Linked DNA regions of Tribolium castaneum. The protein of the gene in region 1 purifies or fractionates together with the protein of each later gene. This does not show direct contact. Links are inferred from orthologs where the notes say so. Each region holds a gene or a part of one and is shown in the gene's direction. Other genes may lie near its edges.

Region 1 (6,193 bases):
TTGTAGCGTATTCATTTAAAGACATGGCATTTGTATGTAATCAATGATGCCAACTTAATTTGGGCATCACAGGCCACAACCACCGGACCACCGCAAATCCAATAAACGAATTTTAATTTTATTTACTTGCTTCTATCAAATTCACCTTTTTCAAGCCACTACAACCAGGGTTGGGAAATTACGTGTAATTAATATTAATTACATTTTATACATTACGTGTAGTTTTTGACGTAATTAATTGTAGTTAATCGTAGATATAGAATAACCTCTTTTTAACAATTCTAACCTCAAATTTTGCGGTACGTTACGCCGGCTCTTACGTCTTCCAAAATGCCGGGAAGAAATTTTCACAGTTTTTGGACGATTGGAAAGTTTGATATATTAAAACTGAATGGAAAAGTTGCAGCACGTTGTCTTGTGTGTGATAAAATATTAAAAAATACTTCGAAACAACGACTGATGTCGCATAGGTATGTATGCGTTTGTATTACATTAAATAAATAAAGAACTAGTACTGAATTATTGTTTATTGCAATGCAGAAATGTCTGCAAGGAAGAAAATACATCCAAAGAAGTGGCCGAAGTGGGTGAAGAGGATGAAATCATATTGGTAGAAATAGAAAGTAAGGCTGACGATAACGATGAAGAAGAGTCAAATGAAGTTTCAGTGGAAGATTCACCAAGTTGTAGCAATGAACAATTTAATGATCGTGTAAGTGCGGCATCAACATTAACATTACCTACATCAGATTTAAACTATGATGAAAACATTTGCAATACTGAGAGTTCAAATTTGACTTCAATATCAATAGCAGCTTCACCTTCACCCCGAATGCTATCCCCAATTCCATCAACTTCAAAAGAAAGCATACACAAAATAATTAACAAGTCAATATCTAAAAAAAGCAACAGCAAGCCAAAGGATACAATTAAAAATTTTTTAGACCATGTTAGCAACAATCAGAAAATCGAGATTAACAAAGCACTTGGCAAATTTATTGTAGGTTGTAACATTCCATTTCATGTAGTAGACTCAATTCATTTCAAAGACTTTTTGAGAGTGCTTAGACCTGCATATCAGCCTCCCTGCCGCAAGACAGTGTCAGGGACCATTCTAAATTCATTATATGATGAAATAAATGAAGACGATCAAAACTCAATAGGTAAATTCTCTGTTATGATGATCGATGGGTGGAAAAATTCAGCAAATAACACAAAACAAGTGGTAACAATTTTGAAGTCAACAAGAAGCGATAAGTGTATTTTTCTGGAAGCATATGATGTAACAACAACACCAGAGACGGGAGAAAAGCTAAGTGAATTGTGTAATCTATCTGTTGAACTAGCGAAGACAAAGTTTAAGACTGAAATTTATGCTGTCGTTAGCGATAATGCAGCAAACATGTTGAAAATGGGAAAATTGACGAGTGATTTAATGCATACTACTTGCAATAGTCACACAGGAAATCTTCTTGCCAAAGACTTAATTTCCAAAGAATTATGTTCCAAAGTAATCACTATCTTAAAAGAATTTAAACATCCTAATCTCGAAAAGGAGCTGCAAAGTCAGGGAGGATCAAAGATAAAATTAGCTGTCGATACTCGGTGGTGTACCTATAGAGACTCATTTTCTTGCTTGATCAAAAATTTAAAATTTATGAAAAAACTTGCGGCAGAAGAAACTATAAAACTTAAACAAGAAATAATTCAGTTACTATTTGACGATGAGTTCATCGATGAAGTTAAAACAACAATTGAAGTATCTAACCCGGTTTGCAAATTAATTAATGAGTGTCAGTCTAGCAGCTGCACTATTGCCGATGCTTGTGAGAAATGGACTCATTTACAACTGCCTGCGGAGTTTGAAGATGTTTTGAAAAGAAGAAGAGACATGGCGCTAAATATTTACTCTTTAACATCAAATTTTCTTCATCCTCTTTATAGAGGAAGGTCTTTGAATCAAACCCAGGTTGATATGGTCCATGACTATTTGGTAGCTACTTTAAGTGCAGAAGGTTTAATGAGTTTTCACCAATTTTGTTCTTCGGAAGATATTTTTGAAACCTTAGAACGTAAAAACATTTGTTGCCCAAAAGTTTTTTGGGGATTGGCCGAGAGAAAGCACCCAGAGTTGGCTAGTGTAGCTTTAAAACTTATCAATATACCAGCCAGCTCAGCTTCCTTGGAGCGTGTGTTTAGTAATTGGGCATTTATTCACAATGATTTGAGAAATCGTTTGGATGCTGATCATTCGAGAAAAATAATGCATTGTTATTACTCCCTGAAGATGCGGGAAAGTAACGAAGTCAGTTAAAAAAGAAACATTGGTTGTGTTTTTTTCCTCGAGATTAATTCTTTTATTTTGTTTTTTGAGAATAGACTTTATTTTGTTTTTTTGAGAATAGACTTTATTTATTTTTTTTTTGAGAATAGATTTTATTTTTTGTTTATTACTAATCTGTTTTGCCAAATAAAGAAAATAATAGAAAATTGTCTTGTTTTACTGTTTACTGACTACAATTTCTGATGGTAAAAGAACTTACTTAATTAATAATGATATGTATTTAGTAATAGAACATTTTTGATTCATTTTTCTCTTCTTGAGAACAAATAAATGCTACCAAATTTTGACGTAAAAAATAGTGTAATTTTTCGGTAATTTATTTGGATTGATGACGTAGAAAATGTGCAAAAACTACGCGTCGTTATACTGTAGAACGACGTTTCAATATCTACGTCACAACCCTGACTACAACCTACCAGGGCCTGCTTTTTTGAACAATTTTTTTAAAGTAATGTGAATCAAGTGGTAATAATTGTCAAATAAACAAAGCCAACTGTTTATTGCCAAAACTCAAGACAAGCGACTTGATGATGATGTTGATGACTCACCCTGTGTACGGAACGCTTTCCTACCTTCCTATTATTATGAATTTGTGCCGCTTTTTGGTGTCTGATAGTACACGTGTGTTTGAGGAGACTCAACCGATGGGCATGGAGCGTTTTCTGACAGTAGGTGCAATAGGCCCGCGTGGGTTCCCCAACGACTCCTCTAAGCCAACCTTCGAAAAATTCGTCAAGTCCTCGACAAAAACCCCCAATTCTCACCTTTAAAATCGGGCATTTGCTCCCATGCTGGGCGATACGTCTGTTTGTAATATTTTCCTCTAACGATATTCGAACTGCTGTTTGATAGACTCAATGTGGCGTAAGAAACCGACGAGTCGTCTAAATGCACCGGAATTTCGGCCAATTCTTGCGAATCTTGAGACTCTTCTTCAACTTCTTGAATTTGCTCACTCTCTTCGCTTTCCATTTCACGCGCCAACAGCAAACGGTTATTTTTCTAAGTTACTAAAAAGCCGAAATATAACTAACTGCAATATGGCGACGAGTTGGGGATTTAGCGTTGGGATGCACCGGAAATACCTCAACCAAGTACCACAAAACCACAACTATTTCTCACCCAACTGGGCAAAAAACGGCCCCCATTGATAAAACTTACCAAAAATTAATCACAAATTTCAAAAAAATAACTACGGCGGTTCAAAAATCTTGATTCAATTGTTTGTACGGTTAAATAGTTGTTAAAGAGTCACCAAGTTCCGTTCGAAGCGAGGCGCGAAATTTGAACCAAAAGCTCATTGTAAATCAATCAGTGATGGGGTAAGCATCCAAGAGCGCAAAAAGTGTCTCACGCGAAAAACTGGCCGATTTAAACAATTAATTGTCCACTGGTGTGAAAAATACACGTAAATACACAAAAATCGGAAAATGAAATTGTTAACCCACAACATGCTAACCTCCAAATGCATGAAAGTCGTGACTGTGGGGTACCCGCTTGGTATTAACGTGAGTACTTTACGTTTTTAATACAATTCAGGCGAAAAACGCCCCTAAAATCGGCTAAATCCGACTTGTGTTGTTTGAGGTTATGTCAATTTTTTTCCCAAAATTTCAGGCTTCGGACGTGCGAGTGTCCGAAGTGGACTTCAACCCGGACTTCGTGGCCAAAATCATCCCAAAAGTGGACTGGAACGTGCTCTACAATGCAGCCCAAAGCATAGGCCAACTGGAGGGGCTCCCGAAGGACGTGGTCGAAAATTACGAAAACGACCACGAGTTCCTGAAAAAAGCCCATCACGCCTTGCTGGAGATCGATATAATCAACGGCGAGCTGATCTGTCCCGAAACCGGACGGAAGTTTCCCATAAATAACGGGATCCCGAATTTGTTGCTGAATGAGGACGAGGTGTAAATAAAACAGTGATAGTAACCATGAAGGCATTTTATTTTGAGACACAGTACAATTGAAAGCGTTTGACATTGTACAGCTACCAAGAAAATACGAAAATTGCACACTTTATCTAACAGCGTGTAAATATGTCTTGTCAATTTTTACAGTACAAAAATATTTGGGGTACATTAGGGGACTTGAAATCGTGATATAGCTGGATATGTGGGGGCACAGGTATTTCAAGTGGGCGGCATAAGTTACAAGCCACAGCCTTCCAAAAAATAGGATGCGTTTCTGGATCACTACATTGCTCCGAGTGTTTATTAAAAAAAACGTGCAAGAGTGCTGTGATTTCGGGAAACTATGGATATCTAGAAATGACGTACAAATAAAACGTTCCCGTCCTCGATAGTTCCGTTAACGTCGCCAGAGAGCGTAGTTAAAATGGTTGTCTGTCCCATATTTTTTTGGGTTAAAAAAATCGTCTCCTAACTTATAGTCCTCCGTATTCATACAACACTCTTGATGCACGTTCTTTTGTGAACACTGTACAAGTAACAAAATCTTTGGTTGTGAAATTGCAGATCAATCTGAATAATTCGATGCCAATATCCTCAAGCTTTGCCGTTTTTTTTTAAACACTGCATGCACACTTATTTACAACGACTTAAATAATAGTACACATGAACTGCTACTTTCCCCGAGACTCGCCCCCAACTGCGACATTTTTCAATTGGGAGAAAATGCTGCCTTTGGCAAGGCCTTGTTTGGGGCCTTTGCGCAGTTCTGGGTTTGAACCACAAGCTTGGTAGGTTCTTTGCGAGAGCAGGGAGCGGTTAGGGCCTCTACTTAGGGCTTGGGGGCCTTTGCGGTGGTTTGAGTTAGGCCCTTGCCAATTGACGTAGTCTTCCCTAAAGGGGTATAACAATCAAGAAAAAAAAATATTTGAATTAGAAGAAAAAACTTACAAAAGGATTTTGCTATTTGGTCCTTTTATTAAATCCGCGTTAGGCCCTTGTGTGTTCATGATGTTTGGTGAGCGACGTTCCGGTGACATATTTTCAACAAGTCTAGAAGTGGTGTTCAGTAATTAAATAATTACGTTCTTTATTAAGAAAAAAAAATAACAAAAAAAACTCAAATTTTATAAAAATGAAAATCTTCAAAAAATAATAAATAACACAATTAAAATTAATTATGTATTTTTTATTTCTTACAAATTCTCGTAATTGAATATGAAATAAATAATAATTTAAAATAAAATAAATAAAAAAAATAATTAAAATGTAAAAGTGAATATGGTCGTTTTCGGACAATTTAAGGAACTTTCAAATCTTATCTAATGATTGATAAATCAACACAGTTCAGCGAAATAATGAATAAGGTGATTTGAGCTATTCCTAAGAGATTTTTCTAATTTTTTACCAAAATGAGACACCTTGTAAATTTGAAGCTCGAAAATTATTCTAGTTCACTGTATTCAGCAAAACAAATGGAAAACTCGCCATTCTTGGTCAAAATAAAGGGATCTGAGATATTTCCAGGCGATTTTACTCGTTCCTAGGCAAAACATCGTTTAAAATCGACGTTTATCAGTAAAATAAATGCGAAAATCAACGTTGAAAATTATTGAAGATCGACGTATTTCAAGGAAACAAGAGCAAATGGCGTAGTTTTCGGACAAAATAAAGTGATTTGACTCGTTTTTAAATAAGAAATCATCTTAAATTCTCTGAAATAAGTGTGAAAATGGTCGTTTTCGGATGGGAAATCTAAGAGTTTTTGCTCGTTTTAAAGCAATAAATCGTTTTAAATAGATTTATTTTATCAAAATTAGTGTGAAATTAATTGTTTCCAGTCAAACTAAAGCGATTTCAGCTATTCCTAGACGATTTTGCTCATTTTAAAGTAAGAAATTAATAAAACATCACCGAATTTCAGTGAATAAATTAGTGA
Region 2 (7,852 bases), on another chromosome or scaffold:
CAAAAACTGGCGCACCAACTCAATGGTGTGTGGTAGAGAAGTGGTTACATATAAAGGTAAAAATAGTAAAAAAATTCTTTGTATTAAAGTTTTTGATAAATAACGGATTTTAGATAAATGATATGTGGCAACGTTGTCTAACAGTCATGATCGCAATAGAATTTGAGCAACAATAAAAATAAATCATTTTTGAAATGGTTTCCTAGAAAACAATTCCCAGTGTTGGCACATCTACACAATGTGATTTTTTGGATGAATTTTAATTTTTTTTTATTAAAAAAAACTGTTAAAGTCTGAAAGTAAATTTAAAAATAATTATTCATCGTTTTGTTACGGAACGATTACCTGGTATGAAACATAAAAACATAAAAAAATAATGAAAACTAAAGAAGTTAACACAATAAGTTTGTAGTACTAGATTTTTTAAAATATTACTTTAGGAATTTTTTCAACATTTTTCCCGTAATCTGCACTTGCTTCTCAATAACGTACCACTGAGTTGGTGCGCCAGTTTTTGAGCACCCTGTATAGAAACAAAATTGTTTATATTTCGTTAAATTTTCTCAAATATAAGCTAAAAATCTCCGAATTTTCAAATATATTGATAAAAATCACTGATAAAATTGGTGAATTGGTTCGAAAAAGGTGTCTTTCACTCATTAACTTACTTTTTTTGAGCAATTACGCACGTTTTTGAATTTCAAATCAAAACGTGATCACTAAATTATTATCAAGGCTAAAATAAACGTACATATTTTGACAAATTTCGTAAAAAAATTGCCGAAAAGACAAGAATTGGTTACTTTAACTAGTTTAACTGATTACTTTTATTAACCGAGCTTTTTTTAGACGTTATTCCATTACATTCATTTGAAGCAACATATCTTTTTTTTAACTAAAAAAAAAACAAATAAATGTGTTACATAAATTATTATAAACGTAAATAAAATATAGAATCCAATTTTGAATTCTTAGAACCGATTTATAGAACCGTTATTAGTTTAATCTGCAATTAAGTGCGCGATTAATCACGTGACCAAATTGAAGCAATTTGGTTGGTCCATTCGCGTTGTTAACTTTTAACAACGAAATAAATTTTAACAGAGCTTTGTGAAGAATAAGAATTATCACTTAAAGTTAAAAAATTATTGGAAACAATGTAACAAGTCGTAAATCGAACTAAAATTTAATTTTTTTTGTAGGTGACTTTAAATTGCGTTGAAATTTGTGTTTTAAAATGTTAGAATTCCGTAGTTCACAACAAAAAATTGGAAAAAATTATCATTTTTTTTTTTTTATTAAAATACCTAATTATTTTACATTTACCGTTATTTTACCGTTTTTATTTTAGTTATTTGTAATTTTTAGTCTCTGAAACGCTTTAAAATCACCAATTTTTCGTATTTTTTTTATAAAATTCGGGTTTATTGACCTTATAATTTGGCAAGCCGTTCGCCCCCGCGTTCGCCAGCCTCCCTTTTCGCACTTTTGCGGTCAGGCCGCAAATCGCCGTTAATTATGAATATTGATTAAGGTCGCTTTGTCCGAAGCAACCAAACAGGATGTAAACATTCCTTACGTGTATGTACATTGACTGTTGATAATAATAAATACTCCCAACTGTAATAAGTGATTAAATGCACGTCCTTGCCAGAGTGCGAGTGATGTCCTTTGCTACGTGAAGATATCCAAAAGAGGCATTAACACCGCACCTCTACACATGCTACTACACAAAAACGTGCTTTAATCACCGCATGCCAATTAATATTTGCGAAATAAATCATTTTTCCACACATGGAATAATAATGCTACATCAAGGGATACGCAATTGGAATGATAAAGGAGAATTGGAGGCAAGGTCGATGTGGGTGCCCTCACAATGATGCATTGTGGAAAAAATTACGATTTTATTTGACTAGAGACAATCGACTTTGATAACAACACGCTCAGAAATTGTAATCGAAGAAATCCCCCTCGAGCTTGTGGGAGTAGTAGTGGGACTGCAATTTTTTATTGTAAAATTGTTATAATTACGGTAGATTGCTTACAATCCAGTTCCGGTCTTGTTCCAGCAATTGGACCAAGGCTTGGATGTACTCGATGGCCTGTTGCAGCGTTTTCACCTTACTGACCCTCTTTCCCCTAGAAAAATCACGCTCGAATTTCACTCACTTTTCTCCGCAATTAGACCGAGATAAGTAAAATATTGTAAATGATATGTAAAATAATCTACACGCTAAGTGGCAATGTATTTTTAAATTAGTTGAAAAAAAATTCAAAGAATATGATTTTTTTTAACTACTAAAATTGCAAACACTTTTCTCTGGTTCCTACAGCTTCCAAATATAGTTAGTGTGCAAAAAACCTTGTATTCTCCAAAGGGACGACCTTCCTCAGCCTGGCAAAGGCCGAGTTGACCGCCTGCACCCTGCGCCTTTCCCTGGCATTTCTTCTGGCGACGACTTGCGCCGGCTTGTCCTTATGGGGCACGTGTTTATATCGCTTGTTGTCTTCGTGTGTCCTTTCAGTAACTTGATATTTTCCGTCGATCATCCACTCTGAATACATGCAAGATGATACGGGGGCTGTCGGGGCCGCCATTGTTCATCTTTCGCGTGCTTTCGCGTGTCTTAACCACGATGGTACTAACCCTTGATCCTATCATTATTATACTATCAGTAGCGTTCACCCGCATACACCTGGCCAGGGCGGAGTTCTAGAATCATCACTTTTTTACGTTCAGCTGGTCAGAGCGTCGCCAAAATCAAGCAGATGAGTCGAAGATTGGATACAATGGGCTAAGACCACCTGGATAATTAACTTGATTGGGTGCCGAGGCAGATGATTTTTTTACAGATTGTTGTAAATGGACGGTTTACAAGGGGGTTATTAATTTGAGGCTTGTTGCCACCTTTAGGTCATTGAGGGGGGCTATTATCTTTTATAATTTTTAACAATAGATTCTCAAGCAGGGACGTGTAATAAAAAGCAAATCTACATATTGAGTTACGTTGTTAAAATTCATTTAAATAATTCTGAATTAGTTAAATGTTATGCGGGCAAGTATCGCTCATTGAATAGCAATTAATTCTAATGATTCGATAGGCAGAGTAATAAACTCATCACAAAACCACAAAAAGTGGTAAATGTTTCTAGCTATATTTCTTAAAATAAAAAATAAAAAAAAATAAATCAATATTTCGATAAAGCACCCTTAATTAATAATCTTATGTTGAAATGTACCACTTAGATGAAACTGAAGAGGTTTGCCGTTTGGATTTAAAGACCTCACAAGTAAAAAAAATCTAAAAAAAATTCGTGTCTTTTACACACATCTTATCAACTTATCATTATTGACAATTCCTAATAGGCATACGAAAAACTTAATTTTTTGTTTTGTGGAAGGATATGGCGTTAAAATTTGGAAATTAATTAATTTTAATTTCTGTTTGAAAAAATTAACATAAACGGACATATGTAACCAGGAAAATACTAGTGTTAAGTGTGTTGCATATATTATTAAAGCCCTTATTTTTTTGAAAAAAAAAATACAAAAACACGTTTATAGTTGTATAATGTATTACAATAACAGTTGGAATCACTAATAGTTAAAATACGCGGCCCCTTTTTTTCCATGGTCGTGTCTTGTTCACCCTAACCTCAGTTTTTGTACCAATGGAATCTAACAATTCCCGCAAAAAACTCATTAAAAAACTGCGAAAGCACCAACACACTGTTGGGAAAGAAACCGGAGTCGTCTGTACCGACAGCCCCACGAAAGTAAAACGCAAAATTGTAAAAAATAATTGCATAACCCCATTTTTTCAGAACCTTGTAATTTGCAATACTGGCCAAATTAACGGCTTAACTGAGGAAATAATCGTTGAACACTTCGAAAAATACGGTCACCTCGACCGCGTTTTACTAGTTCCTGGAAAATCGTGCGCTTTTTTGAGCTATAAAGACACCTCAAGTGCTTCAGAAGCATTGGAGGCTGTTAGCGGTAAATTGAATATAGCCCAAGACGGCAAACCGATTTTTTTGAGTTTTGTTGAGGCTTTGCCTGAGATAAGGGATGCGAAAATTTGGGGGCGCCTCCCGCCAGGTTTGAGGATAATTACGAATTTTGTTAGTGAGGAAGAAGAGGCAAGATTGTTGGCTTTGTGCCAGTTTGAAGATGGCGGAAGCATGAAACACAGATTAGTAAAACACTACGGTTATGAGTTTCGTTACGATATTAACAATGTTGATAAAGAGAAGCCGTTAAGTGAGGGAATCCCCCAAGAGTGCGATTTTTTATGGAGACGCCTTCCGTTTGAATTCCGCCCCAATCAGTTAACAATCAATCGGTACAATCCCGGACAGGGGATTCCCTCACACGTGGACACCCACAGCGCGTTCGGGGACCCCATCCTGTCTCTAAGCCTCAGTTCTGACGTTGTGATGGAATTCAAAAAAGACGAAACGATTTGTGTTCTTTTACCCCGAAGGTCGTTACTTGTAATGGCAGGGGAGAGTAGGTACGAATGGACGCATGGGATCGTGCCCCGAACTTTTGATTTTTACAATGATGAAGGGGGCTGTCATTGTTTCAAACGCGGGGTTAGGGTGTCTTTCACCTTCAGAAAAATCAGGAAAGGGGGATGTAACTGCAGTTACAAATTACAGTGCGATTCGCAAACTGCGACCAAAATTATTGAGAGCGATTTGTTAGCCCATAAGTTGGAAAATCAACACGTTCATGATGTTTATGAGGATATTGCCGGGCATTTTAGCGAAACTAGACACACACCGTGGCCAAATGTTCTAAATTTTGTGCAAAAGCTCGAAATTGGGGCTGTTTTGGTGGACGTGGGGTGTGGCAATGGGAAGTATTTTGGACACAACAGACAAATTGTGGAGGTAATTAAAAAAATAATTAATAAAAATAAAAAAAATTTTTTTGATAATTTATTTACTCATGTAAAAGGTTATTATTGATTATAGCCTGTAAAATGGACAACATAATCTATAAAATGTGCATATTCTTTTGAACAAAAAATTTTAAAAAATTACTAACATGTACTTTCGATTCACTTTGATAAAAACCATTGTGGTGCAAATGACTAACCTGTTACCATGACAACTCATGTAAAAGTTAATGCCAAGAGTACGTTATTTAGACCACAATGGTTTTTATGAAAGTGAACCGAATATATGTAGTTTCGTGGAAAAAACTTAAATTATAAAAAATAAAAATTTAGTTTACGAGAAAGTATCATTTTCTTGAATTGGATATCTCTAATTATGTAATTAAAAGTGCGGTTTTCTGATCTAAAATTCTCACTTCACATTAGCGGTTTTACGAAAGAAAATTCTTTGCAAAGGTGAAATTACTGTCACTCATTTACAGAAGAAAGTTTCTTCTAATTGTTGAACTAATAACAAATTATTCTAAAAACCAAATAAAAAAATCTTGTTCATATTATTTTCAAGTTGGGCACCGACCGCAGCTTCAAACTCAACAACCTTTGCAAACACCGTGGTTTTGAAGTCTTCACCGGCAATTGCCTCAACCTCCCTCTAAAAAACTCATCAGCCGATGCTGTTATCAGCATTGCCGTAATCCACCACTTATCAACACCCGAACGCCGGCTAAAAGCCCTCAAAGAAATCGTCCGAATCCTTCGAATTGGCGGCGAAGCTCTTATTTACGTTTGGGCGAAACAACAAATCAAAAACGACGAAAAATCAACCTACATTAAACAAGACCGGAAAAATCGGAAAAAGGAAGTTATCGGAAGTGTTACCAAGGAGGAAGTTAGTGTGGGGGAGGGTGTGACTTTACCAGTGCACACGAACAGGGCAAACTTCACCCACAGTGATGTCTTAGTGCCTTGGAAATTGAAAGGGGAGGAGCAGGAGCGGACGTTTTTGAGGTTTTATCACGTTTTTGAGGAGGGGGAGCTTGAGAGTTTGTGCCAAAGCATCGGGAATGTTTCCATTGTGAAAAGTTATTACGACCAAGGGAATTACTGTGTACAGTTTGTAAAAAACAATAAATAAACTAAAAGTAAAATAACACGTTTTTACCAATCCTATACAAGAATTGGACCAAAAAATGACATTTATCGAGCTAAAAATTCAATTATCTCAGTTTTTTCCGACCAAAAAGTCAATAAATTAGAGAAAATTATTAAAAATATGGATTAGATAAGATAATCGCCGAGCACTAGATAATTTGTATCGCTAATTGCTGGTGGCCTATAGGCCAGGGGCTCGGATTCGTGTAGAGCCCCCACCTGTTGCGTTTGTTGTCACGCTGGCTCGCAGGTGCTGCTCTCTACTCCTTGGCGAGGTCCTCTTTGAAAGTTTCCTCATTTCGTTTCGGGTTATTGTCAAATGCAATAATGGCGTAGAAGAGCGTAACCGTGAGTGCGTGTCGTGTAATGCCATCACGGATGCATCTCAATTGATACAGAGCCCCCATACCGGACATAATTATGCCTCGTATCCCGCGCATCGCCCCCATTTGAATCCACCGTACCTGTCTCTTCTCTACCCTATATTGTTATATTAAATTATTTGTGTGTGTGTATGTGTATGTTTTTTATTTGTTGTTGTTGTTTGTTGTTGTTATTGCCATGACCAGTGTCGTTTTTTTGCTTGGTGCAGCTTTATTCGGGTCAGTCAAGGTACGTGTTATGGTTCTATTGTCGCTTCTTTTATTGTTTGGTGTTTCCGACACATGTTGCGACGTCCTGGTTCCACGGTTCTCGCTTAGCATTGAAAAAACGAGCATATGCGGCTAAGCCGGAGCTGCTCACGTAATATAAAGATTTTTTCCACAAGTAATGAGAAGAAAGTCGGTTTTTCGCGAAGCGTATTTAAATTAATTATTAATTATGCATTATGTAAGTGTGCCAATTGTCTCGGCTTGCCATTTGGCCTTCGAGGCACTTTCCAATTGGTTTTGTTTACCAACAAGAGGAAATTTTCGGTGATATCACCAACCGAAGGAGTTGTCTTCTCGGGGGGACCACCCACTGGTGTTACAGGTGGTGCTAAAGATAACGGACTGTTGGCACCAAGTCAAGAAATTCAGATCAATTTAAACGACATTAGAATTTAGAGCGCAAGCCGTTAAAACACACTATTTGTTGTTAATTAGTTGTAGTGATAAAAGCCGCGTTTGATAATTTTTCGCATGAAGGAAAACCGTCAAGGTTTACAGACTTTGTTACAGTTTTTATTAATATTTTTGCGGAAATAATTGGAACGGAAATAAAGTTTCACTCTTCACAAATAAACACACTATTTGTTTTGAAAATTTTGCCGAGTTAATTTAATTGTTGTGCAGTTAACGAATTAATAAAACTTGGTTTAATATGGCTGTTGTGGGTTGGAGCCGTTAGATAATTTACTTTAACCGAAATGACTAATGTGGGCGAATCATGAGACATCAAAAATTGAAAAGGTCAAAGCTGTTACTAAAAGAATCAAAATTAAAAGCGAAACATATCAGAGGTGTTCCCGAATCTGTATTTTTTTAGTTCATGACTTGAAATGAGTTCTACGAACACGATAGCATTCAATTGTGCAAAATGATGCATAAAAATGGAATTCAAGAGTAGAGAAAATTAACTATAGCCCTGGCGAAGGTGAAATTTCAAGCGCTTTCAGCTCTTGAAACCCATTAGTGATTTATTTACTCTACTGTCGCTTATTTGTGGAGGTTTCATAATGAGGTGATTAGAAATTTACAAGTTGCTTGTTTCAATTCCCAGCTTTTACCCCAGACTATGGATACCTAAAGGCTAGGATACGAAATGACGTACAAATAAAACGTTCCCTCTTCCCTAGTTCTGCTGTT

What was found.
Region 2: the proteins of Trmt112 (region 1) and alkylated DNA repair protein alkB homolog 8 purify together in Homo sapiens (co-immunoprecipitation; 3 studies listed by IntAct, with this or other methods). This does not show direct contact. The link is inferred for Tribolium castaneum from reciprocal best matches to the Homo sapiens genes TRMT112 and ALKBH8.

The regions. Positions count from the first base shown.
Region 1 is NC_087394.1:6,129,658-6,135,850, reverse strand, and holds Trmt112 (multifunctional methyltransferase subunit TRM112-like protein), read left to right. Parts: upstream 1-3,605; 5' UTR 3,606-3,774; coding exon 3,775-3,852; intron 3,853-3,961; coding exon 3,962-4,258; 3' UTR 4,259-4,279; downstream 4,280-6,193. Other genes in the region: uncharacterized protein LOC655985, read right to left, coding at 2,893-3,062, 3,109-3,316; uncharacterized protein LOC656340, read right to left, coding at 4,929-5,148, 5,206-5,307. UniProt on the Homo sapiens protein: Acts as an activator of both rRNA/tRNA and protein methyltransferases. Together with methyltransferase BUD23, methylates the N(7) position of a guanine in 18S rRNA.
Region 2 is NC_087402.1:1,185,934-1,193,785, reverse strand, and holds alkylated DNA repair protein alkB homolog 8, read left to right. Parts: upstream 1-3,530; 5' UTR 3,531-3,675; coding exon 3,676-3,780; intron 3,781-3,828; coding exon 3,829-4,902; intron 4,903-5,475; coding exon 5,476-6,045; 3' UTR 6,046-6,061; downstream 6,062-7,852. Other genes in the region: transcription factor ATOH7, read right to left, coding at 1,947-2,000, 2,049-2,142, 2,366-2,601; Ptp10D (tyrosine-protein phosphatase 10D), read left to right, coding at 6,624-6,674.